Linked DNA regions of Tamandua tetradactyla. The protein of the gene in region 1 purifies or fractionates together with the protein of each later gene. This does not show direct contact. Links are inferred from orthologs where the notes say so. Each region holds a gene or a part of one and is shown in the gene's direction. Other genes may lie near its edges.

Region 1 (7,710 bases):
AAAATGGAAATGGTATATATGAGATAGAGCCAGAGCAGGTACTGAAGGCACAAGTAAGTTACATGAGGAAGTGGCCCAAATGCCCATGGTCTCCACTCCTGCCACATCACCTTCTCTTTCCCAGACCAGAGCTATGGCCTCTTGGGGAGTTCCTTACAGTGAATTGACTGAGGAAGAGAAAATTCGGGCCTGGTTTACAGATGGTTCAGCACGATATGCAGGTACCACCCAAAAGTGGATAGCTGCAGCATTACAACCCTTTTCTGGGGTGTCCTTGAAGGACAGTGGTGAGGGGAAATTCTCCCAGTGGGCAGAACTCTGAGCAGTGCATCTGGTTGTTCATTTTTCTTGGAAGGAGAACTGGCCAGAGGTGTGTTTGTATACTGACTCATGGGCTGTTGTAATGGTTTGGCTGTATGGTCAGGGACTTGGAAAGACCATAATTGGAAAATTGGTGACAAAGAGGTCTGGGGAAGAAGTATGTGGATAGACCTTTCTGAGTTGGCTAAAAACATGAACATATTTGTGTCCCATGTGAATGCACACCAGAGGGTGACTTCAGCAGAGGAAGATTTTAATAATCAAGTGGATAAGATGACCCGTTCTGTGGATACCAGTCAGCCTCTTTCCCCAGCAACTCCTGTCATTGCCCAATGGGCTCATGAACAAAGTGGTCATGGTGGTAGTGATTGAGGTTTTGCATGGGCTCAGCAACATGGACTTCCACTCACCAAGGCTGACCTGGCTACAGCCACTGCTGAGTGCCCAATCTGCCAGGAACAGAGACCCACATTCAGACCCCGATATGGCACCATTCCCCGAGTGACCAGCCAGCTATATGGTGGCAGGTTGATTACATTGGACCACTCCCTTCATGGAAGGGGCAGCTACTTGTTCTAACTGGAATAGACACATACCCTAGATATGAATTTCCTTTCCCTGCACACAATGCTTCTGCCAAAACTACCATCTGTGGGCTTACAGAATGCCTTATCCATCGTCATGGTATTCCACACAGCATTGCTTCTGAACAGGGAACACACTTCACAGCAAATGAAGTGCGGGAATGGGCACATGCTCATGGAATTCTCTGGTCTTACCATATTCCCCATCATCCAGAAGCAGTTGGATTGACAGAACGGTGGAATGGCCTTTTGAAAACTCAATTACAGTGCCAACTAGGTGGCAATACCTTGAAAGGCTGGGGTAATGTTCTCTAGGAAGCTGTATATGCTCTGAGTCAGATATCTGCTGTATGGTGCTGTTTCTCCCATAGCCAGGATCCATGGGTCCGGGAACCAAGGGGTGGAAATGGGAGTGGTACCACTCACTATCACCCCTAGTGATGCACTAGGAAAATTTTTGCTTCCTGTCCCTGTGACCCTGAGCTCTGCTGGTCTACAGGTTTTAGTTCCAAAATGGGGAGTGCTTCCTCCAGGAGAAACAACGATGATTCCATTGAACTGGAAGTTAAGACTGCCACCTGGTCACTTTGGGCTACTTATGTCACTGGATCAACAAGCCAAGAAGGAGACTGCATTATTGTCTGGGGTGATTGATCCTGACTATCAGGGGGAAATAGGACTGCAACTATGTAACGGGGGTAAAGAAGAGTTTTCTTAGAATATAGGAGATCCCCCTAGGGCATCTTTTAGTACCATCATGCTCTGTGATTAAAATCAATGCAAAACTGCAACAACCCAATCCAGGTAGGACTACCAATGGCTCTGAAATTTCAGGAATGAAGGTTTGGGTCACCCCACCAGGCAAAGAACCACAGCCAGCTGAAGTGCTTGCTGAGGGTAAAGGGAACATGGAATGGGTAGTGGAAGAAGGTAGTGATAAATATGAACTTTGACCACGTGATCAGTTACAGAAATGAGGACTGTAATGCTGTTTTGTTCATGTTATACTATTTAAGTTGTAAAACATCAAGTTTAAGAATGAATGTTGCCCAAGGATTTGAGCCCTATTCTGGAGAGATTTAATGTGTTTCCAGTTATATGCAGGACAGTTGAGTATTGTTAGGTAAAAGAAAAAATGTGTGTTTTATTGTTTTTATTTGGGAATTGGGTATGGTTTAAAGTAATATATATAGCTGCCAAGTTGACAAGGGGTGGACTGTCATGGTCAGGTTCATGTGTCAACTTGGTCAAGTTGTGGTACCTGTTTGTCTGGTTGGGCAAGTGCTGGCCTGTCTGTTGCAATGACATTTCATAGAATTAGATCATGACCACGTCAGCTGCATCCACAGCTGATTCCATTTGTAATCAGCCAAAGGAGAGTGTCTTCTGCAATGAGTGATGCTTAATCTAATCACTGGAAGCCTTTTAAAGAGGATTCAAAAGAGACAGGCTCTCTTCCTGCTTCTGCCGGCAAGCCTCTCCTGGGGAGTTCGTCCAGACCCTCCATCAGAATCATCAGCTTCACAACCTGCCCTGCGAATTTTGGTCTCTGCATTCCCGCGGTCACGTGAGACACTTTTATAAATTTTATATTTGCAAGTGTTCTCTGTTCATTGTGTTTCTCTAGAGAACCCTAACTAATACACCAGCTTTCAGCTTTGATTTCAATTGTTTCAGAACATAAAAGATGCTTTCAGAGAATCAGTTAGATCTGTGGCCCAGAGCGCTGCAACAGCCAGCAATTTCAGGACGGTGCTTTGTTTCATTTCCAAGTTTCTTTAGACACAAAAAAATCTTCTTGGTTGGGATACTTTGCTTTCTGCTTGTGGTGGACATGTGTTGCCATTTCTGTCTACCATCTACTCTGCTTCTCATGGTAACAATACCTAAATTTCATTTTGTGGGTCCACCTCAACCCCCTTCTCAGTCCACGAGGAATCTGATTCCATTTCTGGACTTAGTGATTATGATTTAGAATCAGTCAGTCAGAGCCTCTCCTTCCCAGCCCCTGACTGAGTCACAGATGGGCACGTGACCTCAACTGGGCCAACCACGCTAGGAAAGCTCAGGTTTTGGACTTGTTTTTGTGCTCTGGGGGAAGTTCTCTTTCCCACTGGGTTTGGTGTTGGGCTGATGTGTCCATGCAGATGCTTAAAGCCATCATGCATAACCCGACAATGAATCAGATGCAGCAGGAGGTGGCCATGCAACCTTTGGAGATAGAAGAACACAGGTTCTGATAACATGATTTGAGCCCTGAATCCAGCTGCCCTTGAAGATTGTCTCCGCCCTTTCAGTCGTGTGAGCCAATGGGTTATCTGAAGAGTACTGATTGATCTGTAGCTTAATTGCTCCTGTTTTTAATTTTAAACAATTGATATAACAATATTATTATATGATTAACTATAGTCCATATGTACATTGGGGTTCACTCTTTGTGTTGTACGGTTCTATGTTGTTTTTTTTCTTGGTAACTTACACAACCTAAAATTTCCCATTTTATCTGTTTTTAAATATACAATTCCATGGTGTTAATTACAAGTTTTATATTTTGATGAAGTCCCATTTATTGATTTCTATTTTGGTTGCTTGGGCTTTAGGTGTCATACCTAAAAAATCATGGCTTAATCCAATATTTACTCCTATATTTCCTTCTAAGCATTTCATAGTTTCAGCTCCTTTATTTAGGTCTATGTCCATTCTGTTACTTTTTCTATATGGTATGAAGTATGAATCAAGATTTCTTTTTGCTTATGGATGCCCAATACCTCCAACACCAATGGCTGGAAAAGCCTTGTCCTCTCTCCATTGAATTGCTTATGCAACTTTTAACAAAACATCAATTGATGCCATTCTTTATGTGTGGGCTGCACATACTGTTTTCCTTCCAGGGTGTACGGTATGTAAAGAGGGGGTAATCTTACAGTGGAGAAACCTGAGAAACACCACCCAGCTGTCATCAAGGTCAGCACCAACAGCGGGTGTGACGATGAGGAGGGCACTGTACCTCCGTGGTCTCCCCCCTGCAACCCATCGCCCAGCCTAATCTGAGAAATACATCAGACAAATGCCAACTGATGGACACTCTACAAAACTCTTGTCCATTATACGTCAAAACCACCAGGTCATCAAAAACCAGAGGGGCCTAAGCATCCTCGACACTAAACACACTGTGTAATCGGAAGCCGGAAAAGGCAGGAGGGAAAACCGAATAAACAATGTGGGCGAGTCTGCCCAGGTCCGGGCCAGGGGCGCCTTCCAGCCGACGAGGCACGTGGACCAAAGCCCGGCGGACGACGGCGGAGCGAGAGCCAGGGATGGGCCCGACCGCAGGGCCGGTGCGCGGCGAGCGGGAATCCGGGCAGGCGGCCGCAGGAAGGCAGGGTCCGGCCAGCTGGACGAGTCCGGGCGGAGAAGGTGCCCTTCGCTCCCGGCCGGGGCAGGCGCTCCGCCGTCCCGGCCCAGGCCGCCGGCGAGGCGAGGCGAGTGGCGCGCAGGGGCCTCTTCTGCTTCCCGGGACGCGACACTGCGCGGGCGACGCCGGGGCAGAGGCTGCGGACGCCGCCGGGACGGCCCCACGCCCTTCGCCCACTCCTCAAGGGACCCTGGCGCCAAAGGCTGCGGCTGCACGAGCGTCCGGAAGGGCGGAGACCCTCCTAACTCCGCGTCCGCGCAGGCCCGGGTCGTGGGGGCGCGCTCGAGGAGCACCCAAACTGCGCAGGCGCCACGGCCGCCGAGCTCCGCGCACCTCCCGCGATGCTCCGCGCACCTCCCGCCGTGCCCCGCGCCAGCGCGTGGCAGGACGGGAAAGACAAGATGGTCGCGTCCACCTGAGCTTCTGACTTGAGCGCTGCATTCTCCAGCTTGTTTGCTATTGGCAGTCGCGCCTGCTGCTGCTGGTCATTATTTCTCCGGAGTCGGGGAGGGAGAGGGGATGAGCAGCTGTGGCGACCGAGGAGTCACCGTAACAGTCCCCGCCGCTGCCTTCAGGCCCCGGGGAGCAGCCGCGGCTCGCTGCGCCTGACGCGTCCGGTGTCCCACAGGTGCGGGCCTGCAGCTCCGGGTGGTCCATGGCGCGCCCCCCGGCCCTCCGCACCCCGAGGCTGTGCGCACCGGAGGGCTGGGGCGTTGCAGGCGAGCCCTTAGGGGTGTGCGGCCCTCGCCGTCCTTCCCGAGCTAACCGCGGGGTTCCCCGCGTGGCCTCGGCTGCTAGACTGGCCGCTGTCCTCTCCGGACGGATTTGCCGAGGGCCGGGCCCTTAGCCTGTTGCCTTCGCGGCCTCCTGAAAGGACTGCGGGAGCGCACGGCCGTTTTGCAGAGACGCCGCCCGCGGTGCCTTCGGTGTCTCCCGTTCAGTTTTACTTTGTTTGCATGGGCAGCCCGGGAGCCGAGCCCGGAGTCCCGGCGTGGCAGGCGGGACTCGTCTTGCGTTGGGTTTGGGTGTTTGCTAGACCTTGTGGGCTAGAAGCTTACTGGAAAGGAATTTCTAAGCCTGTTCTCTATTCCTTCTTCCAATTGATCTTCTGATTTTAAAATAAAAATACTCTACTTTGGAAATCTCTAGTTGACTCTTTAGTATTTGCCACATATAGGACGTGTGTAGTTCTTGGTGTTAATATACCGTGTGTGTACCGAGTACGGTGTGTATATATACGGAGTAAACGTGTTTACAGTAGTGCCTGAGTTTATAGTCATTTGGGTCGCTCTGAAGAGGCGTTGTGCTTACCTCGGGCAGGTTAGTTTTCGTTCCTGATAGGCAATGCTGATAGTCTTGATTGATGGCATATCAGTTTAGTATAGTGCTTTATGTATAACTCTTTGTGTTGCCTCTAAGTCAAGTAAAAACTTCTTTGTGAAAGTTTGGAGTACCGTAAAAGTATATTTGTTGTCTTAATCGGTACAAAAAATGTACTGTGAAAAATATTTTTCTTTTCACAAAATTTTAAGAATAAACTTGGATAAAATTATGTTATCTCTTTAAATAGTAAAGGGAGACCTGTTGAATTCTGTTGTTTTCTTGTACGTTTTACAAGGCACTTTTTTAGTTACATCTGTTCAAGCTTCCACAACACCTTTTGCTAGCAGGGGGAATAAAGGAACTTGTGTCATGTTTGGTGATTACAGTTATCTCAGAAATAACATTTGATTCACAGAAAAATAAAACTTCGTGGCTCTTAAGGAAATCCATAGGATTTGAGGTATCTATGTGACACAGAAAACTGATGCCAGAAAGACCTCAGGTGAGAAATTGAGGTCAAATCTAATCAAACCCTTTTAATTCTGTGAGCTGTTTCAAATACTCTAAAGTTTGTCTCCAGAGCTGGCATCAAGTGTTTGTTTTGATCTCTGTATTTGAGGATTACAACTTAAATGTGAGACCACAAATTCTGTTTTCAACATAGATGTTGGAGATGGGATTGACACTCAGCTTGCATACCACATTATATAGTGTCAGAATTCTACTAGCTGTTAATCACTATGTAGAAATGTTTGGGAGGTAGAGAGGAGTGTTTTGACCTACAGCTCATTTACATCTCTTCTGTAAACTTTTTTATGGTATTTTTTTTGCTCTATTTTGACTCAAGAAACTGACCAAAATGTATTTGAATTCATACAGAAATAATGTTGATATTTGGAACCCATGTCGAACTTCTATGAAGAAAGGGCAGCGATGATTGCAGCCAGGGATTTGCAGGAATTTGTTCCTTTCGGTCGAGACCACTGCAAGCACCACCCTAATGCACTGAACCTTCAGCTTCGCCAACTGCAGCCCGCCTCTGAGTTGTGGTCTTCCGATGGTGCTGCTGGCTTGGTGGGATCCCTTCAGGAGGTTACAATCCACGAGAAGCAGAAGGTTCCATTAAGTTTCCCGTTATGTTTTTGAAAATAATTTAAGACTACCCAGATGAAACTGAAAAATGAATATAATGCTAATTTGAGGGTAAAGATTAGGGCTTGACTAGTTTAGTCAAGGCTAAAATGATGACTTTACTGTATTATGGTGTCATAGTTACCTATTTTGACATGCTGTAAAACTCGTTGTTTTTATATTAAGTTCAGTGTGGTTGAGATCCATTTTAAACCTCTTCTTCACGTAGTGTGTAGGGACCACATTTCATGTTAAGTATTAAATGGTAGAGATTAGGTATGATCCCTGTTGCAGAAGATTTGCATGCTTCTAGAGAAGCATAAAAAGTGTCACGTAAGTGGTAGAATAGTTTTGGTGGCTTTGACTAAGTGTTAAATTTCTCATTTGTAAACACTCAGATCTTTTTACCTTGAAAAGAAGGGTGCTTGAACATGTCCTGTGTGTGTGAATTTTTAAGGAAAGCTGGCAGCTGAGGAAAGGCGTAAGTGAGATAGGAGAAGAAGTGGACTATGACGAGGAGCTCTATGTGGCTGGAAATATGGTGATCTGGAGCAAAGGGAGTAAAAGCCAGGCACTGGCAGTTTATAAGGCATTTACCGTTGACAGTCCTGTTCAACAGGTGAGTTATTTAAATTTTAGCATTTGATTAACTGTTTTTACACTTAAAAAACTATAACAGAAAAGATGAAATCATCTATCACGATGATTAGCAACTGGGTATATAATTTAATGTGTAGTGAAGGTAATGATAGGAAAATAAAAAGTTCATTTTATTTTGTATTTCATCAGTTTTTTTTCTTGTTTACTCTATCTTTTGTCAATTGAATGATAGTTTTTATTTATTTATTTTTGCATGGGCAGGCACTGGGAATCGAATCCGGGTCTCTGGCATGGCAGGTGAGAACTCTGCCTGCTGAGCCACCGTGGCCTGCCCAA
Region 2 (7,093 bases), on another chromosome or scaffold:
ACCAATTTTGCTGGAATCACTTGTTTAATTGCCCATTTTCCCATATAGCCTATAGGTCTTTGTGACTAAATGTTGGAGTTAAAAGAAAAAGAGTGATTTCTGGTTTGTTCAATGGAGAGGATGATAATCCTTTAAACTGGGATAGGAAATATTTCAGGTATAGGAAATGAGGCATTCCATACTGAACAAGGTACCTGTGAGAGATCCAGATAGAGACAGTTGGCAGCTAAGCATTTGGGTCTGGAACTCTAAGAAGCAACCTGGCCAGAGATACAGATTTTTTTAACAACTTGCAGATGAGAAACTGAGACCACAAGAATGGGTGGGTTTGCCTAAGCAGAAGGCGTAAGGTGAGAGGAAGGCCTAGAACAGATTCCTGAAGCACTTCAAAGATTATACCTAGCAGAGCTGCTGTAAAGGAAGCTAGCAATCAACAGTAAACTAAAGGGAAAAAAAAGCAAGAGGCCTTTTTTTTTTATGTTGACAAGAAGCTAAAGGAAAGGGTAAATTGACTAGGAGAAAGGAACAAACATGGGGTAAAAAAAAAAAGGAAAAAAAGCCTCTAAGTCAGTTAAGATAAGGAGAATGTAAAGTAGCATACAGCAGGGACAAAATGAAGGGGACGACAAGGAGGAAAGACGGAATTGACAGGAAAAGCACACTTACTCTGGGCTACATTTCAGTGGAACCTGCATTTTGCCAATGAAACCATATATAGCTTCTTCAATAGTTCCCTAAGTATTGGCCTCCAAATCTGATTGAACATGATGGACCAGGAGGCAGGATAAGCAGAAGAAATAATTTACCATTTTTGGAATAATGTTTACTGCAACCCAATTTCACTCACCAGCTAAACATATGTGGATAATGGATAAGAGTAGGTTGTCAAAGTGTTTACTGGGTGGTGATTAATCAGGACAGAGAAGGAAGTAAAAATGCTATAAAAGAATTTATCAAAGCACAATTTCAATGTGGCCTTGCTATGGATGATTAGAAAATAACAACAGATATATTAGCATGAAAATGGTCAAAAAAAAAAAAAAGATTCTTGGCCCATGGTGGCTCAGCAGGCAGAGTTCCCACCTGCCATGCCAGAGACCCAGGTTCGTTTCTTGCCTGCCCATGCAAAAAAAAAAAAAAAGATTCTCATTTTTAGGGGAAAAAGGGCTGTAGGCAAATTCTAAGCTTAAAAGCCAAAGTGCCAAGCATAACAGACTCCTTAAATGCTGGCTCTAGAGGCACGTTTACATGTAAATAATTATCTTTATGTATCCTGTGGGTAAATTCTTACATTCAGATTTACCAAAAAAAACTATTGCACAAGTACAAGACTTGGGTTGGCAGCAGGTTGCATGAAAATGAGCTGGGTTTGTAAAATGATCACAAGCTTAGCATAAGAAAACAGTGTGCGGTGGTTGCAAACAAATGCAAAGACAACTTTAGTCTACTTAAAAGAAGTATCCAGATACTAAAAATAACAGTTATATTGCATCCCGAATTGATTAGAACAAATCTAGAGTATTGTATGCAGTTAAAAGGGTCAAATTTTAAAAGTGATATTCTTATCCATTACTTTCTTTCCATTCCTAATGACCAGGTTCTCTCATCTCATACCTCTGACGGTAGATTGTTTCCAAAGAAGGTCCAAAAGTCCCTTCCATCTCACATGTCTTTTGCTGTGCCTTTTTTGCCACTCTTCCTATCAAGAGTTGGGTTCTCCTCCTGGTGAATGCAGGCTGATCTTGTGTCTTACTTAAACCAACAAGTGATGAGGTTTAACTTATAGTCCTAGGCCTTGAGGGGCCTCACAGCTTCCATTTTGACCTCTTGGTTGCCAGCCACTAAATCAAGAAGCTGAGGGTACTTCTGACTGATGAAAGGTCAATGTGGAAAGAGAAGTATGTGCAACGAATTGAGCCAGCCAACACTAACACCAAGACCCCATACATGTGAGTGAAGTCATCTTGGATCTTCCAGTCCCAGTAAAGACACCCCAACTGTCACTACATGAAGCAAAGAAGAGCCTTCCCATTGGGCTCTCTCTGAATCCCTGACCCACAGAATCATGAGCAATAAAATGGTTATGGTTATAAGGCACTAAGTGTTGGGGTAATTTATTCTGTAACAACAGACAACTGAAACACCTCGATTACTAATTATTCTCCACGACATAGCATGGGGTTAGTAAGAAATGTGAAGCCAGATTTCCTGGATTTGAATCCATTTGTGTGACTGTGGTAAGTTATTTAACCTCAGTTTCCTCATCTATAAAATAAGAGAACTACCTGTGCTGGCTAATTGGGGATACACAGGTAGTTTAGGGGTAAAATTCTTGTCTGCTATGTGGGAGACTTAAGTTCAATTTCCAGCCCATGCACCCAAAGAAAATTTTTAAAGGAAAAGTTAATCAATCAAAAAACCTACCTAGAACTGTGCTTGACACAAAGTAAGGCTCAAGAAATTTTAATTAATATCATTAGTCCAGTGCTGTCTGAAAGAATTGTCTGTGATGGTAATGTTCTTTACTGGTGCTGGCCAATATGATGGCCCCTAGCCACATATGTCTATTGAGTACTTGGAATGTAACTAGGGTGACTTAAGAACTTAATTTTTAATTTTAATTAATTAAACTTTAAATAGCTAGCTGTTAATAGCTACCATATTGGACAGTTAAGAAGTTTATTTCCACTGTAATTCATCCAGTATAATCTTACTAAAAGAAGAGGGCACAGGACAGCAGAAAATCACCTTTTGCAGGAGTACAAGTGCATGAGCAGTGACTAAAGAGGCTGGCTGGTAGAGAAAGAGGTACCTATGTCAGTTGGTATGAAAAAGAATAAAAAAGGCATTTCTCCAACCTCACCAAAAGGAAGGGAGTAACCCACTCTAACTTGATTTCCTCTGCATAAAAATGTGGGAACCAGAAAGGGGAATTTTCCACACAATACCTTGAGTCCCATATCTAGCCTAAAGAGGCCCTGACTAGAAAATTAACCTTTAAAAACTGTTTTCATCATCTGCTGAAAAACAAAAACAAAATTTTAGTAGTTCCCTAGCTCACTCATTTTTTTACTTGGCAGGAAGGAAATTTGAGAGACATGTGCTGAGCACAGCCACATACGTTACTGCATTTCATTATTTTAATCTTTTTTTTTTTCCAGTCTAAGCAAATAGAAGTGAAAAGGGATTGTTGCTGAAGAACCTAAAACCGGATAGTGCCAGAATTGAAATTCAAAATCAGGCCTTTTTCCAATAGACGAGAATTCCTCTCCTATCAAGAATAAAAATTTCTACCTGCCTTCTGAGATTCTTTCATAATTTGGTCACCTAGATAACTACTTCAAGTTAATGTCTTAATTCTTACCAGCCTGATCTTTCTGCTTCCTTTCCTTTGGCTTAATTTTACCTATCTTTCAAGGCCCAATTTAAATGTCCTTTTTTTCCCTCCAAGAAACCTTCTTTATCTTCAATCCCAATTAATTTATCTCTCTTAATTTTTACATCACTTATAATGGGAATCACGTAATGTAGCACTCTTTGTCACACTGCTTTTCCTTTAAATAGATCGTAATCTCCTTGAAGACAAGGGCCCAACTAAATCATCCGGCACGACAATCCTTTCGAATTTCCTCTGATTTCCTCTAGAACCGTGAGAAAGTAGCTAAATGACGAAAACTCAACAGACAAATACGTCTTGATTAAGGTCAGCCTCGAACTCTAGTGTTTTACCCTTTGCTTAAACCACCGAGCACCAATTATTCCACAAAGGTTAACTGACCAGCGAATCCAAACATCACCGCAGCCACGTAACGCTCCGTCCCGCCACGCCCAGCCTGCCGGTTGCCGCTTGGGCGTGGCCCGCCTGCTGGAGGCCGATTGGGCGTGGCATGCGTGGGTGAAGGCGTTGCTGAGAAGGGGAATTTACACTCTCAGTTACACTCGGTAGTTTCCGATAATCCTCGACAATTTCCGGTAACGGTCTCCCTCCCCGCCACTTCACTTCGGGTATTTCCGGCTCCTTTCGGGCCTTTCCGTCTGGCTCCCGCTCGGCCATCTCCACTTCGGGTATTTCCGTGTCCCGCTCGGAGATATTCGGCAATCGCTCGGCCTCCCCCATCCCCCGGTAACGGTCGCTGGTGAGTTTAAATGAGCCGGGGCTGGCCGGGGCTGGCCGGCCCGAGCCGCTACGGGGGGTGGGGGCTGAGGCACTGCAGAAAGTGGGCCTGAGCCTCAAGGATGACGGTGCTGCAGGAACCCGTCCAGGTAAAGATAAACCCCCCTCTCTGAGGCTTGGCTCGCAGCCTCAGTCGGGAAGCGGCGTATGGCCACTCCGCGGCCTGGTGCGGCCTAGGCCGGGTTGCTTCTCCCGCCTCTCCTTATGCCGGGTTCTGCCTACCTTTTCGTCAGTTCAGCTGCCTTGCCCGCAACCTAAGGGTGTTCCCTCTGGCCCTACATTACTTCTACCCCCATTCTGGTCGATTCGGTGATAATACCTCCTTGCCCTTCCGTGCCAGCGTTCGGCCAGCCCCTCCTGTCAGTCTAGGGGCCTGGCCTCTACTAGGGCGAGACATGAACGGCCGAAAACTCGCCCCAGGTGCTCTCCTGTCGAAAGGATGATGGAGAAACATGTTGGATCAGAGCTAGTATGATCTCCCTAATGGTGGAGCAAGTTTGCGGGATTGTGCTTCATTTTATGTGAGACGGTGAAGGGAAGGTAGTATGGGTATTTTTAACACTTATTATTTCTGTTTTAGTAACTGACTTTCTAGCCTCTGTTGCTTTTCTCGATTAGTGAATTTCTTACTGGACAATGGTCCGAGAAGAGAAGTCCAAGGCCCAGTGCTGAGGTGCAGAGCATCTATTGAAACGGGAGGAGAGTGAAAACGGCCAATCTGTTTTTTATCCCTTGCCTGTCATGGGGGTCAGGAATATTTTACTGTGCGTGTTTATAAACTTTTTGGGAAGCAGAAAGACAAATAATGGTTTTTCCATCCATTTTACTGTGCCCATCACACCAAGGTATTCTTTGACGCACGGTGCTCTATCTGTATGGAAGAAACCCCATTGGATTTTAAGTGTGTGATGCAGTGCCAAGTCATTTCCACCCCCCACCCCCCGCCATCGGAAGAAATGGAATCTTTTGTCCTTTAATTATTGACCAGGTTTGGGGAGCTTTCATGCCAAGATCTTTGACTTGATTGAAGAGTTGACTTCTATCACCTGCTGTCATTGAGTCTTGGACTTTCCTTATTTTGAAGTTAGAAAGCAAACCGATTTTACACAGATTACTTCATATTGCTCTTAATAGGCCTGCGATAGCTAATAATAACTATTTCAATACATTACTACTTCCATATTTCCTTAATTTTCTTCACAGCCTAAACTACTCATTTCTCCTAGTTTGACTTCTCCAGGTCTTAACACGTTGCAACTCCTTAGTGTTTGAGTTAATGTAACGTGGGATTCTTTCTCAGCAAAGTTATTTCTTTACAAGTTGTGCCAGTGCTTCCAAAGGTATTTCTTTCCATCCACATTTGTCTTACCAGTAGAGAGTCTCTTAAGATTTTTTGAGGCCTAACAGGAAATGAAGTTACTAACTGTACCTTCTTAAGTGGATAAACATATTATTCAAGTTGCTTAATTTCTGTTTTATATCTTGTAATTTTGTCTTAATAATTAATACTTTTGCTCTGTCTGGCCCTGAAAGGCTTCTAAAGTGATAAACTAGTTTCATTGTTAGCATATGACACGATTTAATAATAGTTCCAACCTTTATAAAAGCAGGGACAAGAAAAATATGTAGGTTATTTCTAGATAGTGCCCGTCAGTTTTCCTCTTTTCCTTAGAATACTCTTTGCAGTTAATGCACTTAGATATCTCTTAAAGCTTAAAAGCTGAGTATGTCTTTTTTTTTTACCCGTCACTAGCTTTGTCCATTAGATTTTGGGTTGGTAAGAAGTTTTAGGATATGGAGCAGTGGGAAGAGCAAGCAACTTTGGTTAAAGTGATAAAAACCAATGGATCAGGGATAGTGCTGAAAATGGGAAAGAATTAGTGAGGAAAAAAGTAGGACAGATGAATATGATGCTGTCTATATTTTAATAAACTAGGGTAACCGATTGCATGTAATGGGTAAAGGGTGAGAGTAGGTTGGGAAATTACTTTGTTCCTTTCTTGGGATGCCTTAGAGTTCATAGTATTAACCAGCATTGGAAAAAGTTGAAAGATGACCAACTGTTATTCTGCTTTTCTTTTTTTTTCATTAAAGGTTTAACAAGGAATAGCCAGTCTGATAAACCACATATGCACATAATCGTAACTATAAGGGCATTGCCCCTCCCCAAATTTCCTTTCATACCAAATGTATTACTTTGTATTTGTATATTTACAAAAATCTCATTTTGAGGCAGAAGTTCTGTTGATTATTTTATTTTTAATATTAACTTTTTGAGGAAGACACGCTGGCCTAAATGACTATACTCAGAGCTAGTTGGATCTTTATAAAAGTTTCCTGATGAACTCAGTCTTTAAAAAAGAGGCAAAAATGTTTATGTAAGTTAAACCATTGTTCTTAGAAGTAGGACCTAACAGTTGGATGTGTTGGATAAAGTTGTAAACAAGCTTTTTAAAACTCAATTTTAATAAGCAATATAGTTAAGTGGGTACTATATACGCAGTATCGCTGTAAGATCACTAGATAGTGAAGGACTACTTTTGGCTTGGAATTGTGTCTTGTGATAGCACTTAACATGGATTCAAAGATTACCATATTTCAGATAACTTAGAATTGGAGGTAGTATACTCTGGAAAATTGTGTTAAATGACCAAAAAAAGTGGCTGTAGTGATGACGACAATACTGATGTCAAAGATGTATGTGAACAGTTTGGGTGAAATTCTTATAAGCAGTAAGAGTAGAAAAAAATGAAATTACTAAATATATTTTGTAATTTAAAAATATGTGTGATTAAATTAATAGGTATTGACTATTTGATTACATACCAAAAATTTGTATATTCTAATTGGCTAGAACCTTATATTTAGGATTACCATATATTTTAGATACAATAGAGTATCTTGAAGACAGTGCTGCCT
Region 3 (7,254 bases), on another chromosome or scaffold:
AGGCCCTTTGGGCTCTTTCTGCCCCGGGCCAAGTTCGTGAACAGCGTGGGCCCCGAGGGCGCTTGGCTGCCCGACAGCAGCTCAGGTGAGTGCCCCCCGAGGGCCCTGCCCAGGGCCGTGTGCCTGGGCTGCATGTCCACACAAGTGGCCTCCCCACAGGCCTGTCCAGCTACACTCCAAAGCATTCCGTGGCCTTCAGCAAGTGGCCTGAGCAGATGCCAGAGCCAGCTCTGAGTGAAGGGGAGCCGCTCCCAAAGGAGATCATGGTGAGTAGGGGGCCGTCAGGCAGCGAGGGTGTTTCTGGGGCCTGGATGAGTCCCAGGACACCCACTTGTCCATCTCTTTGGCAGCTCACACCCGCCAGTCAGAGTGACCTCTCGGACTTCCGCAGCGAGCCAGCCCTGTACTTCTGACATCTGCACAGCCAAGACGGGCAGGCCAAGCCCCTGAGGTGCCCCATGGGCCAGGCCACGCCTCACTGCCCCACAATACCCCACCTCCCGTTCTGGGCTGCAGGACATGCCAGGACGGAAAGACAGGGCCTGACTGGGTGTCATTCTCTGTGGGTGGGCTCCAAAGTACAGCAGAGTGGGCACTGCCCAAGGGGGAGGGCCAGGAGTCCTGCAGGACAGTGGCCCTGTTTGGAACAAGGCAGGAGCCTACTAAGCCCGGGCTCCCCGCCCCCACCAACTGCCCACCTCCCCTAGCCGAGTCTGTTCTGTCTGACGAATGGACCCAATAAACAGCACTGGACAAGGCTGCCTCTCTTCTCTGGATGGTCTGCTGCCTGGCCTAAAAGCTGCGGGACGTGGCGGGGGAGTGGTAGAGGGCAGGGCTGGGATCTTTGAAGTGCTGTTGCTGGAGGAAGAGGCCAGAGAACAGCAAGGAGTCTACGTGCCCAGACCCTCACCCCTATCCCCAAACCCAGGTCTCCCCTCCCTCACGCCTTTGCCTGGGGTGGGGTGGGGGTGGGCACCTGTCCTGTGTGCTACTCTGGGGGTCAGAGGCCCTGGAGGCCCTTTGGGGAAGCAGCCCACTCCCATCCGGCAGCCTCTCCCAGGGCTGGCTAAGACCTGAGCTCTGGAATTCTGTGATGGGGCTGAGACCTCAGATGCATGTGGTGGGTGCTGGATGGGATGCATAAGAACAGCTCCCTCATGGGTTCAGAGCAAAGAGCTGGGGAGGACCTGAGGACCAAGACAAGGCTGAGTGGGTGCTGCAGAGGGCAAGAGCATGCTAGGGCCTCAGGAATCTCCTCTCACCTGGGCTTGGGGGGGTGAAGCAGGCAGGCAGGCAAACTCAGTGGATTCTGACAGGTGCTGGGGGGAGCCAGGGCTGCCTGCTCTAGATGGGGAGCTTTGCTGGGCTGGTGGCCCCTTAAACATCCTCTCAGCTGTGCATGTGCCTGCTGAGTTGCAGCCATTTACAAATCCATAGACAAATCCTGCTCAGGCTTTGGGTATGAATGTTCATGCCTTTTCAGGAGTCAAACCCAGGAGAAAGGTCATCAGTCCAGGCTTGGGAAGGAGAGATGGTTTTGCCATGTTCTCAGAATCAGTGGGGCCAGCTTTCTTGCGACCTTTTTGGTCAACATACACTTCCAAATCTGCCCAGTCCCCCAGGCCCTTGGTTGCTGCAGCCTCATGAGGCTGTTACACGACTACATGGGGGCATGGAGGAGCCTCATACTAGAGGCCAGGTCCCTTCACATGGAAGAAAAGTGGGTGGCACCCAGTATGTGGTGATGGGGGATGATGTCAGACTCTGGCAGAAGCTTGAGTATAGGGTCCAGAGGCACCTGTGCCTGGTTAGGGGCTGACGTGCAATTGTTTGGCCGTTACAACTTCAAACAAGTTGCAAAGTCTCGCTATAGATACCAGGTCTAAAAGCACTGGGCAGGGTGAGCCACAGTGGCTCAGCAGGCAGAATTCTCACCTGCCATGCTAGAGACTTGGGTTTGATTGCCAGTGCCTACCCGTGCTAAAAAAGAAAAAAAGCACTGGGCAGTAATCAGAGACCTCACAGAACTACTCCAGTGTGCTAGGGTTGAGGGGGAGGACATGTGGCCCTACATGGGGCAGCAGGGACTGGGGCTGATCTGGGCAGGGTGGGCAAAAGTGGGTCTGGTCTGCACCCCTGAGGTGAGAGGATCCTATGATGGGAAAGCCACTCCAGGCTCTCCTCTTGGTAAAACCTACACACAACCCAGGACATGAACAGTAGGCTGATACCCAACTTTGCAAAGAAAACCTTTATTCACAGTTGCTGGGCATAAGGTCTGAGCTCTAAAATCTGGGTTCTGAAGCCCTGGCACCCTCCCACACTGGCCTGGTTGGGGCCTCTGTTGGCTGAGGAGGGCAAGGGGAAGACTCCTGGGGCTCTGGGACTAGACCCTGGGCTCCTCAGCAGTTCAAGAAGGTGAAGGCCTCAGAGAGGGCCCCATGCAGAGCCACCTGGAGCCCTCCCTGCAGCTCGCCATGAGCTTAAGCCAGGCCCTCCCCATCTGCATGGGCAGCTCGTGGGCATTCTTTCCATCCAGGGCAATGGAGGGCGGCAGTTACTGCTGCCAAGGGCAGACACTTTGTGAACAGATCTCCTGGGGGCCATGTCGGCGTGGGGCGGGAGGCAGGCCACCAGTGGCCTCATCAACTATCCTTGCCTCCACTGCTCTTCTGGTCTGATGCTGTGGCCTTGGTCAGATTCCCAGCTTCTCTCTTCAGGATGCTAAGCAGAGTCTGTGAGCTCTCCAGGATCTGAGGCCAGAAGAACAAAAGGTTTGTCACTGCTCCTCAGAGTAGGAAGGTTCCGCAGCCCACCTCACACTCACGGCAAGCAGCATACCAACCCAGAGGTGCTGCAGGGGACGCGCGCTGGCAGGGGGGCAGGCAGAGCCACCGGGATAAAGCTCCTGAGGGCCAGGCACGTCCTGTGTCCGGCCCAAAGCTTGTTCTTCCCCAGCCTGCAGAGCCAGGCAGACTTAGTTTTGACTGCAGCTGTACTCTGGAAGTTCTGTCCCTTGCACTGAACAAAACGGACTGAGTAATAAGTATGGAGCCAAGAACAGGGCCACAACACTGCGGCTCCATACTGGTCCAGGTGCCCCAGTCCCAGAGGCTCCCTGCCCATAGCTGTGTGCTCCTGATGCTCTGCCCCAGAGTCCAAGCGACAGGAACTGAAGCTGCTGCTGGTGGGAACCCCAAGCCACACTTCTCCAGAACGTCCAAGGCTTGCCAGTATCAGCCCTCAGCCCAGCCTGCAGCCCCCTGGGTCCCCCCCCTCCCCCCGGAGCCCCACCTTGAGATAGGCAGCCTCTGTCTCTGCGATGGTCCGGTCAAACTCGTTGCGAGAGGCAATCTTGCGGGCCAGGTTCTCGTTGACCCGGGCTAGTTTCTCAGTCAGCTGCCTCACCTCATTCTGCAGCCGCTGCTTCTCCTCCTCCTCCTGCTGGATCTGCCGGCACAACTCTTCCCGTTTCTGGCACAGCTCCTCGATGCCTAGAGCAGGGGTGGGAAGGAGGCACTGGTGGGGGCTCAGGGTAGGAAGTCACTCGATCCCCCAAACTCGAGAGCCCATCCTTCCAAATTGTGGTGGGTGGAAGGCTAGTCTAAAGTGAGGCCTGGCGGCATCATCGTCCCTCCAAGTAAGGTCCAAGGAACTTCCTAGCAGGGTTTCGGGGTTAAACAAGTCACTGCACAAAGAGCTGTGGACGGCGTGCCTAGGAGCCAGTAAGCGCTCCAGGCACTCCTCTATTTTACTCACTAAACAGGCCCACCGGTCCCAACCGCGTTCATCAGCTTAAATCCAACGGCGACTCTGATCTAAGAAGGCCCCCGCGTCAGCCCCGGCCCAGGCCCGCTCCACCGGCCAGACACCCAGGACGGAGGATACCGGGGGCTCGCCCAAAGCTAAAGCCGCCACGCACCCCACCCACGAGGGCCCTCGCCTCCCCCGCCCGGCACCGGCGGGACACCCAGGCGGGCGGGGCCGCAGGACGGGCGCTCACACTTGACCAGCTCGTTGTTGTAGTTCTGCAGCGCCGCTCCCTGCTGGGTCATGGTCGTCGCACGCCGCCCGATTCCCCGCCAAGTCAACTGCCGCTACCGCCGCCAAGGCCGGCGCCCGCCAGTGTGACGGACGTCGCACCCCCTCCCGAGCGTCATCGCCGCGCGCCGCGCCTGTCCGAGCGTCATCGCCGCGCGCCCCCTCCCGAGCGTCATCGCCGCGCGCCCCCTCCCGAGCGTCATCGCCGCGCGCCGCGCAGGGCCGACCTGGAGCCGGTGGACGCAGATGGCTGCGACAGGGGAGGAGACGGCCTGCGAACCCGGGCCTGGACCGGAGCTGTTGGTGGCCTGGGACACCATGAGCGTCGGGCTAGTGCCACCGGCGGCGCTGGGCTTGGTGAGGCTCGGGAACACACTCACGGGCCCACCTGGGGTTCCTGGGAACCTGTCGCTCTCTAGGGCTTCCAGCCTCGCCCACCGCCGTCCTCCCTCCTTCCCCCACAGTTCTGCCGCGTTCGGCGCCCTTGGCAGCCCATGCCTGGCGACTGCCGGACATCCGTGCGCTGCCGACAAGGGGCGGCGGGGTTTCCACAGCCTTTCCCCGCTCCGCTCCCTTCCCCGCTTCTCCCCTGCCGCTGCCGCCCTTCCCCGCTTTTCGCCTTGTTCCTCTTTTCGCGGTTTTCTGCACTTTAGGCGTCCTCCCGGACCAGCGGTGCGGTCCCGCCGAAGGAAGAGGAGCTCCGGGCGGCGGTGGAGGTGCTAAGGGGCCACGGTTTGCACTCGGTTCTGGAGGAGTGGTTCGTAGAAGTGCTGCAGAACGACCTGCAGGCCAACATCTCTCCGGAGTTCTGGAATGCCGTCTCCCAACGCGAGAACTCTGCCGACGAGCCCCAGTGCCTTTTGCTGCTTCTTGACGCTTTCGGCCTGCTGGAGAGCCGCCTGCACCCCTACCTAAGGAGCCTCGAACTCCTGGAGAAATGGACTCGCCTGGGTCTGCTGATGGGCACTGGTGCTCAGGGGCTACGGGAAAAGGTCCACACCATGGTGCGGGGTGTCCTCTTTTTTTCCACTCCTAGAACCTTTCAGGATATGATTCAGCGCCTCTATGGGCGCTACCTGCGAGTCTATATGCAGAGTAAAAGGAAGGGGGAAGGAGGCACAGACCCGGAACTGGAGGGGGAGTTGGACAGCCGCTATGCCCGCCGCCGATACTACCGGCTTCTGCAGAGCCCGCTGTGTGCTGGGTGCGGCAGTGATAAGCAGCAGTGCTGGTGCCGCCAGGCTCTAGAGCAGTTCCAGCAGCTCAGCCAAGTCCTGTGAGTACCCCTGGGATGGCTGTATCCTCCCCCGGTCCTCCTGAGTCCACATTATTTCTTTGATAGGTCTCTGCAGAGAGCTGATTGAGGGCTCTACCTGCTTTCCTGGCATCTCTGGGCAGTAAGATACACCTTTTCTTCTGGACCCAGAGGTGTGTCTTTCACACTGCTCACACTCAACCCAATACCGGATGTCTTCTCCACTACCACCCCACATGGCTCTTATCTGCAGGAGCCCAAACTTCCTGCGTTGCCCAGAATTCTCCTTGGCCAGTTGTAAGCTCTGTAAAGGAGGAACAGTGTTTGTATTCATGGGAGTACCTAGTTTTTACTGCAGTGGCTGTGAACAGCAGACTGGCTATTTCCTTTTGTGGGGAGATTGGACCAGCATGACAGGCAAGCGGACTTCTTTCCCTGTACTTTGAGAGAAGAGTACTTTTTTTTTTGTTAGAGCCAGATCCTATTACATGAGCCCTCTAGCAACTGTCTCGGTCTCCCCGGCCTGCCTGTGGTGATATTGTCACGTTGAGTGAAGTGGCAGCACTGCAACCGTTTGGGAGATAGCATCTCAGCTGGACCAAGGGAGGAGGCCCTGAAGGGTGTAAATGCTCTTTCTCATCTTCCCTTTGGGCCACCTGTCACTTAGATCAGGGTCTGCACTGAAAAGTACTTAGGTTCACCTGGCAGGGTACTGTTGGCTGCTGTTCCAGAGGCACTCCTAGTAAATGAAGCTTGGCCCCAGGAGCCACACTTACTGCTGCTGGATAGAGGATGCTGTCTGGGTGGGGTGTGCAGCTGCTTCCCAGGGTTCTGCCTTCCCAGCAGCTTTTCCTTGAAGCCCTTGGTACAACTGCCCTTTGAGGCGGCAGTGGGAGCTCTCCCTGCATGGGTGGCAGGTGTGCACTGTGCTCCACATGCGGGGCCGTCCTGGGTTCCCGGGCCAGACATGCGCCAAGTATACCCACTACTCTGCCTTCCAGACACAGGCTCAGTTTGTTGGAACGGGTCAGTGCGGAGGCAGTGACCAGCACTCTGCATCAGGTGACACGGGAAAGGATGGAGGATCGCTGCCGGGGCGAGTACGAGCGCTCATTCCTGCGGGAGTTTCACAAGGTGAGGTGCCCATTGTCCGTGCCTCCACCAGGACTGGCCCTGCCAGAAAGCACTTCATTGGCCACTGAAACCCATCCCTCTTGCCAGGTAGAGGCCAGATCTTCTGGGTCTGTTCTGGTGACAGTGTCCAAGGTCTACGCAGAGCTGCATGGCAGGGGCAGTGCCAAGGGCAGGAGTGGGGAATCCACTTGCTTCTTGACCTTGCTGCCTCCTCTTTGTGGGCTCCACTTCCATCCCTGACAAGGCCCCTACGACCAGCCTGCATGCCTCCATGGGCTGAGCGTTCCTTGCAGGGCAGGGAAGGAGAGCAGAGTCACTGCGGGGGCGGGGTCTGGGGCAGAATGGCGTGGTGGCAAGGTCACCCTTTGCTGAGGGAGGCAGAGCCTTGGTGTCCGCTGTCTGCTCGTAGGCCTGCAGCTTGCCCCAGGGCGCCCTCAGTCCACAGAGGAGCTGGGCTCCTAGTGTGTGGACCTGTTTGCTTCTCGCCGTTCCCAAGGTCCCTGTGGCACACAGTGTTAAAAGTGTTGTCTCCAGAGCTCCAGCCTAGAGTGGGCATGAGCACCAGCAGCCAGCAGAATGAGCGCACTGTTCCCAGGTGGAGAGAACATGGCCTAGGAGGTGGCAGCCTTGTGCATGGGATGGTCTGTGGGCCATGTCCTCATGCCAGTGAACATGTACACTGGTGGTTTGCATCATGCTGTGTCATGTACTGGTCCCATGTCTAATCCCATGTGTGTGGCTGTGTTCACATGGAGGGGGATATGCCTCCCACACAACCCATGTGTCTGTCATTCATGTACCCTGCATTAGGGTCACTGCTGCCT
Region 4 (7,831 bases), on another chromosome or scaffold:
TTCCAATTTTGATGCCTTGTATTTCTTTTTCTTGTCTAATTGCTCTGGCAAGAACTTCCAACACAATGTTGAATAACAGTGGTGATAGCGGACATCCTTGTCTTGGTCCTGATCTTAGGGGGAAAGTTTTCAGTTTTCCCCATTGAGGACGATATTAGCTGTGGGTTTTTCATATATTCCCTCTATTATTTTAAGGAAATTCCCTTGTATTCCTATGCTTTGAAGTGTTTTCAACAGGAAAGGATGTTGAATTTTGTCAAATGCCTTCTCTGCATCAATTGAGATGATCATGTGATTTTTCTGCCTTGATTTGTTGATACGGTGTATTACATTAATTGATTTTCTTATGTTGAACCATCCTTGCATACCTGGGATGAATCCTACTTGGTCATGATGTATAATTCTTTTAATATGTTGCTGGATTTGATTTGCTAGAATTTTGTTGAAGATTTTTGCATCTATATTCATTAGTTACTGTTTTAGTTACTCTTACTGATAATCTTTCTTTCTATGCTTTCCTCAAAATGTCTCTCTCCTATCTTTTCTTTTCAGCCTGAAGAACTCCCTTTAGTATTTTTTGTAGTGCAGGTCTCTTGTTTACAAACTCTCTCAGTTTGTTTTTATCTGTGAATATTTTAAACTCTCCCTCAAGGACAGTTTTGCTGGATAAAGAATCCTTAATTGCGTTTTTTTTCTTTCAGTATCTTAACGTATCATGCTGCTGCTTTCTCATCACCATAGTTTCTGATGAGAAATCAGAACCTGGTCTTATCGAGCATTCCTTTTATGTGATGAATCGCTTTTCTCTTGTTGCTTTCTGAATTCTCTCTTTGGCAATGGACAGTTTGATTAGTATGTGTCATGGGGTATCTCTGTTTGGATTATTGTTTGGAATATGTTGCTCTTCTTGGATATGTAGATTTATGTCTTTCATAGAAATTGGGAAGTTTTTGGCCATTATTTCCTCAAATGTTCTTTCTGTTCCTTCTCCTTTCCATTCTTCTTGGATAACCGAGAGGCATATATTTTTGCATTTTGCACTGTTTTTCAATTCATTGATAATCCCTACTCAAATTTTCCTGTTCTTTCCTTTATTTGTTCTTTTGTTGGATTTTGAATGTCCTGTCTTTTAGCTTGCTGATCCCTTCTTCTGCCTGTTCAAATCTGTTCTCATATGCCTCTAGTGAAGTTTTAATCCCATCTATTGCACCTCTCATTCCCATAATTTCTATTATGTTTCTTTTGGTACTTTCAAGTACTTCTTTATGCTCACCCAGTGTCTTCTTAATATCCTTTTTCTCTTTAGCCATATTTTCTTCATCTCCTTGAATTAATTTAAGAGGTTTCTTTTAACGTCTTTGATTAGTTGTTCCAAATTATATATCTCCTCTGACTTTTAAAATGTGTTCCTTTGCCTAGGCCAACTCTTTCTGTTTCTTGGTATGGCCTGTAATTTCTTGCTGATATCTGGGCATCTGATTATGTTGATAAGATTATTCTGAAGGTTGGTTTCTCTTTCTTGGCTAAGAATTTGTTGTTGACTGGGTTAGTGTTAAGGTAATTCTTTGCCAGTTATTTTGTCAGTATTTCACAGCCCATACAGGGTCAGGGACCCATACTAGGGACCCACTCCAGTTCCACAGTTCCCTGGGTAATGGCTCAGGAATGATGCCAAAAAAGCTCTTTATTCAGCTCTCCAAAGTTGTGCTTTACTGGCCTGCCCAGCAGATGACTCTTTCCAGCAACTATTCCTGCAACCCTAGGAAAACAAGGTATTTTGGGACCTCTTGATTCCACCTCTGACACTAGTCAAAACAATGGCACAGCATCACCTGTTTGGGATGGACTAAAGCAATGGGACCCAGCTGTCTAAATTCATGAGGCAATAGCTGCATCAGTACTGAGCCATGTCCCCTTTTGTTGTTTGGGAAGAGGACTTCTGCAGCCATCCTATTCTGCAGCAGCCTACTAGGTAGGAATCAGGCTGACTCAATGCTCCTGGCTTAAACTGTGTGGGCTGGGCACCAGAAGCCATGGCAGCCTGAGTTACTCACAGTTTTCATAACTTTCTCTCTCTCAGTAGGACCCTTTGATGAGGTCACTTCAGTTAAGGTATAGCCCAACTCAATCTGGATGGATCTTAATCCTATCACTAGAGCCCTTTATAAGGACAGTGAAATTCAAACAGTTAGAGAATAAGCCACTGGAGGCAAGAAGCTGAAGGTCAGTGTAACCCAGAAGAGAAGGGAGAGGCCAGGAGAGGCCACCATGTGCACTGCCATGTGGCAGAGGAGTCCAGGACCAAGAATCACTTGGCAGCAGCCAAGCTCAGAACCCCATAATCTCCAGGGAGAAAGCTTCACCTTCACTATGCCTTGATTTGGGCTTTTTCCTAGTCTCAAAACCATGAGCTAATAAATTCCTATTGCTTAAGCCAACCCATCGCATGGTATTTGCTTAAGAAGCCAAGAAAACTTAAAACTCCCAGCAATTCCACTGCTAGGTACTTACTCTAAAGAACTGAAATCATGGACTTGAAGCGAGAATTGTACATCAATGTTTATCATGGTGTTATTCACAATGGCCAAAATGTGGAACAAACCTAAATGTCCATCAGCAGATGAATGGATAAACAAAATGTGGCATATCCATACAGTGGAATCTTTTTCTGTCATTAGTATAAATGAAGTGCTGATGCATACTACATAACATGGATGAACCTTGAAGACATGTTGAGCGAAATAAGCCAGACACAGACGGGCAAATCTAGCATGATTTCTCTGATATGAAATTCTTACAATATTTAAATTCATAGAGACAGAAAGCAAGGCAGTGGTTACTTGTGTGGTGGTGATGGAGGATGGGGAGTTATTGCTAAATGAGAAGGAGTTTTTGTCTGGGATGACCAAAATAGTCTGGAGACAGATAGTGGTGGAACTTACAAACTGTTGTCAAAGAATTGTCCATTTAAAATGTTTAAAATGATTGTTATATTATTATATGGCCACAATTGTGTATATTACCACAATTTTTTTAAACCTTTTTTTTTTTTAAAAAAAGGATACTAAGTGACAAAGATGGGATTTGAACTCAGGCAGGCTGGTGCCCACATCCCCCTAAAGAATACCTGTATGTCTGCTACTTAACTTTATCAGTCCTAAGTGTTTTGCCACAGTTGAAGCTCCCATACATACTTTCCTCACCTCATTCCCACCCACTTTTCCTATAGGTAATCTCTATCCTGATTGATGTTTATCATTTCCATGAATTTCTTTATGATTTTTTAAAGGTGTGCATATCCATATATAATATATAATATTGTCTTGTGTATTTTTGAACTTTATTTAAATGATAGCACACAGTGTTATAGTTATGGGACATTTAATTGCTTCCCTGGTTCTTGTACACATTTGAATTTGTGACCCAATATATTTAGTCACTGTATAATGAAGGAATTTGGAGTCAGAACACCTGACTTAAACAGCCATTTAACGGGTGGCCCATGATGGCAGAGTTCTCATGTGCCATGCCAAAGACCTGGGTTCATTTCCCAGTGCCTGCCCATGTGAAAAAAAAAAAGCCATTTAACAACCCAGGCACAAAATTTAAGTAGACAGCCTCCTTACCTGTAAAAAGGTAATGGCGAGTTCAACCTGATAGATTGATTGATTTGTGAACATCCAATGCAAAAAGTGGTGTAAATCTTTCGTAAAATACTGACTGTGTTGGACAAATGCTGATTAAGGATACCAGCTCATTCTTGGACCTAGCCTTTATTAATGCTGGCTCGCCAATCATTTCACAGGGTAAGCTATGCCCCTTCCCACCCCAGTCAGCTAATGTGCAGGCAAAGCAAGAACACAAAACACTTTGGAGGAGGTGGGGTGTGGTGCCTTCACCCTGCTAGGCAGGCCGATGGGGAATGCAGTTAGGACTGCCCTGGCTCTTGGTTAAAATATTTAATGACAGCTGTTGGGAATTGTGTCACACCCTACTATGTTTATTTTTATTTATAAGAGTCCACCTCGTTTTATTCGTTACTGAGAGGCACAAATTCCTCTTAGACTCATCTGATTTCACTTGAGCTGCTTCTGATACCAATCAAACCCGGGGATCTCTGCCCGAGGTGCCTCACAGCCGATCTATGACACTGGGTTTCAAAGGGAGAAAGAGTTTACTGCAAAGCGAAGCCAGGAGAACAGATATGGCCCGTGGGCCCAGACTCTCTCTCCCCTTCCAAGGAGTCAAACAGTGTTTTGATGGATTCACCCAAGGGGAGGTGGAGTTACTATTACGATTTACAAATGTAAAGGAGTGGAACCAGGCTGGACCTAAGCTAGACTAACCATTACCATAACAAGTATGAACCCCGCAGTTAGTTCAGGGCTGCCTCAAGTTTCTTCCTTAACATCAGGGGGTTGTCTTTGTGATAAGTGTCTAAATTTGTAAAACAGGGTAAGGGGTTACAGCAGGGCCAGTCAAGAGGTTTTTACAGTTCGAAATTTAGTGGATTTCAGTAACTGACTATTCTACAACATACCAGAAGGTAAGAAAAAGGCGTCTGTATAACGATTCAGTCATCATTTTTTGTTAAATCTTAATATCTCGGTTAGATTCCTACTGAGGTGCCTTTTGTCCAACCCAACCCATTTTAAGCCGTCAATAAAACCTGCTGTTTAGCATGCGGATGTTATTATTGCTCAAAAAATAAAGAACCCGTGTCATTCTACCACGCCGGGTAGGCGGGGTAAGGAGGGCGCTCTGATTTTTACGCAGGCACCGCGCTGGGCGCCCGCGCGCTTGGGGGCGGAGCCGCCGGTGGACCCGATGGACCCCGGCGGGGCTGCCATTTTGGCGCCTTCCCTGAGGCGCTCCTACCGGCCTCTGGTGCCGCCGCCGCTGCCGCCGTTAGCGGCGGCTCTGTGTGCCAGGATGAACGTGATAGACCACGTCCGGGACATGGCAGCCGCGGGACTGCACTCCAACGTGCGGCTCCTCAGCAGCTTGCTACTTACAATGAGTAACAACAACCCGTGAGTCGAGGCGGGGAGTGGTCTGGGGCTGAGGAGAAAGCGGCGCGGGTTTGGGAGCCGGGGCTGCGGGGGTCTGGGGTCGGGCGGGACGGATGGGGACCGCGGGCCCCGATCGAGGGTGCAGGGTCAGCGAGGGCCTCGTCGCACGGAGCCGGCTGCGGGGCGCGAGCTGTTTACTAGGCGCCTGCGTTGCGCCCGGCTTTGGGATGTTGCGAGCGGCGGCGGCTCGGAGGATGGGAGGCAGGAGGTGCTGAGAACCTCTTGAGGGTCCGGCGCCCCAGACCTTGGGCGCCGGAGTTTTCCAAGGCACCTGGCGCTGAGCGGAGCGGCTGTCGCGTCGCTGGATTGAATCCCCCTCTCCCGGCTCCTTCACAGAAAATGTTTTCCCTCTCTCGCCGCAGCTCAGATTGGCCCAGCCTCCCGGATTGTATACACTCGCTCCCAAGTAAGATGGATGTATTCCCTCGGGTGTATCTGGAGGGTCCACTTTGTCGCCTCGGCATGCCCCCGAATACGGAACACTCCCTGGGTGGGTGGGCGTGGCGCCTCTTTGACTTGCACGAGATGCCATAGCCTGGCCCTTTCCGGGTTTTCCGAGCTTCCTTTTGTGGAATCTCAGTAAGGAAGAACCAAAGGTCCAGAGAGTCTTTCTCTGACCACCAGCGTAACCTCTGCTGTATCTCATTGCCCTGTTTTATTTTCTGCATGGCTTTTACCGCCTAATGAAGTTATTTATTTCATTTGCATCTGCCTCTCCTGCTAGACAGCAAGGACCATGAGGACAGGTGCCTCATCCGTTTTGTTCACTGCTATAGTCCCCATCACCCAACAGGGTGCCTGGGGGGCAGTGATCGCATACATGTTTATTGTACGTCATAAGAAGTGGGTTCAACCTAGTACCTTGTCGAATTTCACACATCTGGAAAGTGGAGGAGCCAGGACTGGACCTTGGGCCCCTCTGACTCTAGAGTCTATCTGTTCTGACCCACCCCAGACTAAAAGGCATTGTACTGAATCTTCTGTGCAGTGTGGATTCCCTGCAGTTGGCATGCTCCAGAAGCTGTTTAGGTCAGCAAGGAAAGGCCCTAAGTGCATGCAGTGCAGACACTGCTCCCCATTTCATTCCCGTTAGTGTAATTTGGACCTCACTATGTGAGACTCATAATTTTGCCAGCCGCTTAGAGTTGACAGTGAGGAGGCCTGGTCTCTGTCAGGCTTCTGTGTTTATTTTGGAGCCTTTCATTTGGTTTCCAGTGATTTTCCAAGGCATTTGGTTTCACCATTGAGGATTTATGCAACATTCCGTCAATACTCTAAGTTCTTAAAGATGTTACAGGATACTCTGAAGCAGTTTGGTCCTCTGGCTAGACTAAGTTTACATAGCCCAGGCTGTGTGTCATACTGGGGACCAATAGTTTTCTAGTTTCAGGAGGTGTTTTAGGTTCTGACCTTTATCATTTGCATTTTAAATTAACTTATTGAATATGTAATACACATACTGCTAAAAAAATTTTTTTTAAAAGATACAAATAGTGCAGAAGGGATTTGCAGGTAATTGTCTGTCCCTGAACCATTTCCCTTCTCTAGAGGCAACAGCAATTGAGTTTCTCATGTATTAGTCTAGAGATAATCTCTGCATGTATATGTAGGCATGTATGTTACATTATATAAAAATCTAAATGAAATTCTTGTATGTAGTAATATTTTGTTCTTTATCCGAGGTCTTTATTTTTCACTAAATATATAGAATCTCAGAGTTAGTTAAGTCATCTGGTCTGTACTTTTTGGTCCGTGAATTTCCTTTGTAACTTTCTTTTTTTATTAATTTTTTATTTTTTTATTATGATCATTCCATTCTACATATATAGTCAGTAATTCATAATATCATCACATAGTTACACATTCATCATCATGATCATTTCTTAGAATATTTGCATCAGTTCAGAAAAAGAAATAAAAAGACAACAGAAAAAAATTCATACATACCATACTCCTTACCCCTCCCTTTCATTCATCACTAGTATTTCAAACTAAATTTATTTTAACATTTGTTCCCCCTAATTATTTTTATTCCATATGTTCTACTTGTCTGTTGACAAGGTAGATAAAAGGAGCATCAGGCACAAGGTTTTCACAATCACACAGTCACATTGTGAAAGCTCTATCATTATACAATCATCATCAAGAAACATGGCTACTGGAACACAGCTCTACATTTTCAGGCAGTTCCCTCTCCAGCCTCTCCATTACATCTTGACTAACAAGGTGATATCTGTTTAATGCGTAAGAATAACCTCTCTAGACTCTGTTTGGAATCTCTCAGCCATTGACAGTTTATTTTGTCTCATTTCACTCTTTCCTCTTTTGGTTAAGAAGGTTTTCTCAATCCCTTAATGCTGAGTTCCAGCTCCTTCTAGGATTTCTGTCCCACGTTGCCGGGAAGGTCCACACCCCTGGGAGTCATGTCCCACGTACACAGGGGAAGGGTGGTGAGTTTGCTTGTTCTGTTGGCTGGATAGAGAGGCCACATCTGAGCAGCAAAAGAGGTTCTCTTGGGGGGTGACTGTTAGACCTAATTTTAAGTAGGCTTGATCTATCCTTTGTGGGGTTAAGTTTCATATGAACAAGCCCCAAGATTGGGGGCTCAGCCTTTTGCTTTGGCTGTCCACACTGCTTGTGAGAATATCAAGAATTCAACTTGGGAAAGTTGAATTTTCCCCCTTTCTCACCATTCCTTTGAAAATACTTTTTATATTCACTGTTCAAATCACTCTGAGATTTATGGGGCATCGCTCTGG

What was found.
Region 2: the proteins of ANAPC1 (region 1) and CDC27 purify together in Homo sapiens (affinity purification with mass spectrometry; 16 studies listed by BioGRID and IntAct, with this or other methods). This does not show direct contact. The link is inferred for Tamandua tetradactyla from reciprocal best matches to the Homo sapiens genes ANAPC1 and CDC27.
Region 3: the proteins of ANAPC1 (region 1) and ANAPC2 fractionate together in Homo sapiens (co-fractionation; 8 studies listed by BioGRID and IntAct, with this or other methods). This does not show direct contact. The link is inferred for Tamandua tetradactyla from reciprocal best matches to the Homo sapiens genes ANAPC1 and ANAPC2.
Region 4: the proteins of ANAPC1 (region 1) and ANAPC7 fractionate together in Homo sapiens (co-fractionation; 6 studies listed by BioGRID and IntAct, with this or other methods). This does not show direct contact. The link is inferred for Tamandua tetradactyla from reciprocal best matches to the Homo sapiens genes ANAPC1 and ANAPC7.

The regions. Positions count from the first base shown.
Region 1 is NC_135343.1:1,056,395-1,064,104, forward strand, and holds the start of ANAPC1 (anaphase-promoting complex subunit 1), read left to right. Parts: upstream 1-4,692; 5' UTR 4,693-4,948; intron 4,949-6,522; 5' UTR 6,523-6,546; coding exon 6,547-6,759; intron 6,760-7,231; coding exon 7,232-7,393; intron 7,394-7,710. UniProt on the Homo sapiens protein: Component of the anaphase promoting complex/cyclosome (APC/C), a cell cycle-regulated E3 ubiquitin ligase that controls progression through mitosis and the G1 phase of the cell cycle.
Region 2 is NC_135332.1:20,307,437-20,314,529, forward strand, and holds the start of CDC27 (cell division cycle protein 27 homolog), read left to right. Parts: upstream 1-4,083; 5' UTR 4,084-4,236; coding exon 4,237-4,263; intron 4,264-4,396; exon of another isoform or gene 4,397-4,520; intron 4,521-7,093. UniProt on the Homo sapiens protein: Component of the anaphase promoting complex/cyclosome (APC/C), a cell cycle-regulated E3 ubiquitin ligase that controls progression through mitosis and the G1 phase of the cell cycle.
Region 3 is NC_135328.1:130,760,682-130,767,935, forward strand, and holds the start of ANAPC2 (anaphase-promoting complex subunit 2), read left to right. Parts: upstream 1-4,244; 5' UTR 4,245-4,287; coding exon 4,288-4,398; intron 4,399-4,694; coding exon 4,695-5,317; intron 5,318-6,297; coding exon 6,298-6,430; intron 6,431-7,254. Other genes in the region: TPRN (taperin), read left to right, coding at 1-85, 160-266, 351-413; microtubule nucleation factor SSNA1, read right to left, coding at 2,646-2,753, 2,846-2,959, 3,295-3,494, 4,004-4,055. UniProt on the Homo sapiens protein: Together with the RING-H2 protein ANAPC11, constitutes the catalytic component of the anaphase promoting complex/cyclosome (APC/C), a cell cycle-regulated E3 ubiquitin ligase that controls progression through mitosis and the G1 phase of the cell cycle.
Region 4 is NC_135331.1:11,114,623-11,122,453, reverse strand, and holds the start of ANAPC7 (anaphase-promoting complex subunit 7), read left to right. Parts: upstream 1-4,821; 5' UTR 4,822-4,827; coding exon 4,828-5,033; intron 5,034-7,831. UniProt on the Homo sapiens protein: Component of the anaphase promoting complex/cyclosome (APC/C), a cell cycle-regulated E3 ubiquitin ligase that controls progression through mitosis and the G1 phase of the cell cycle.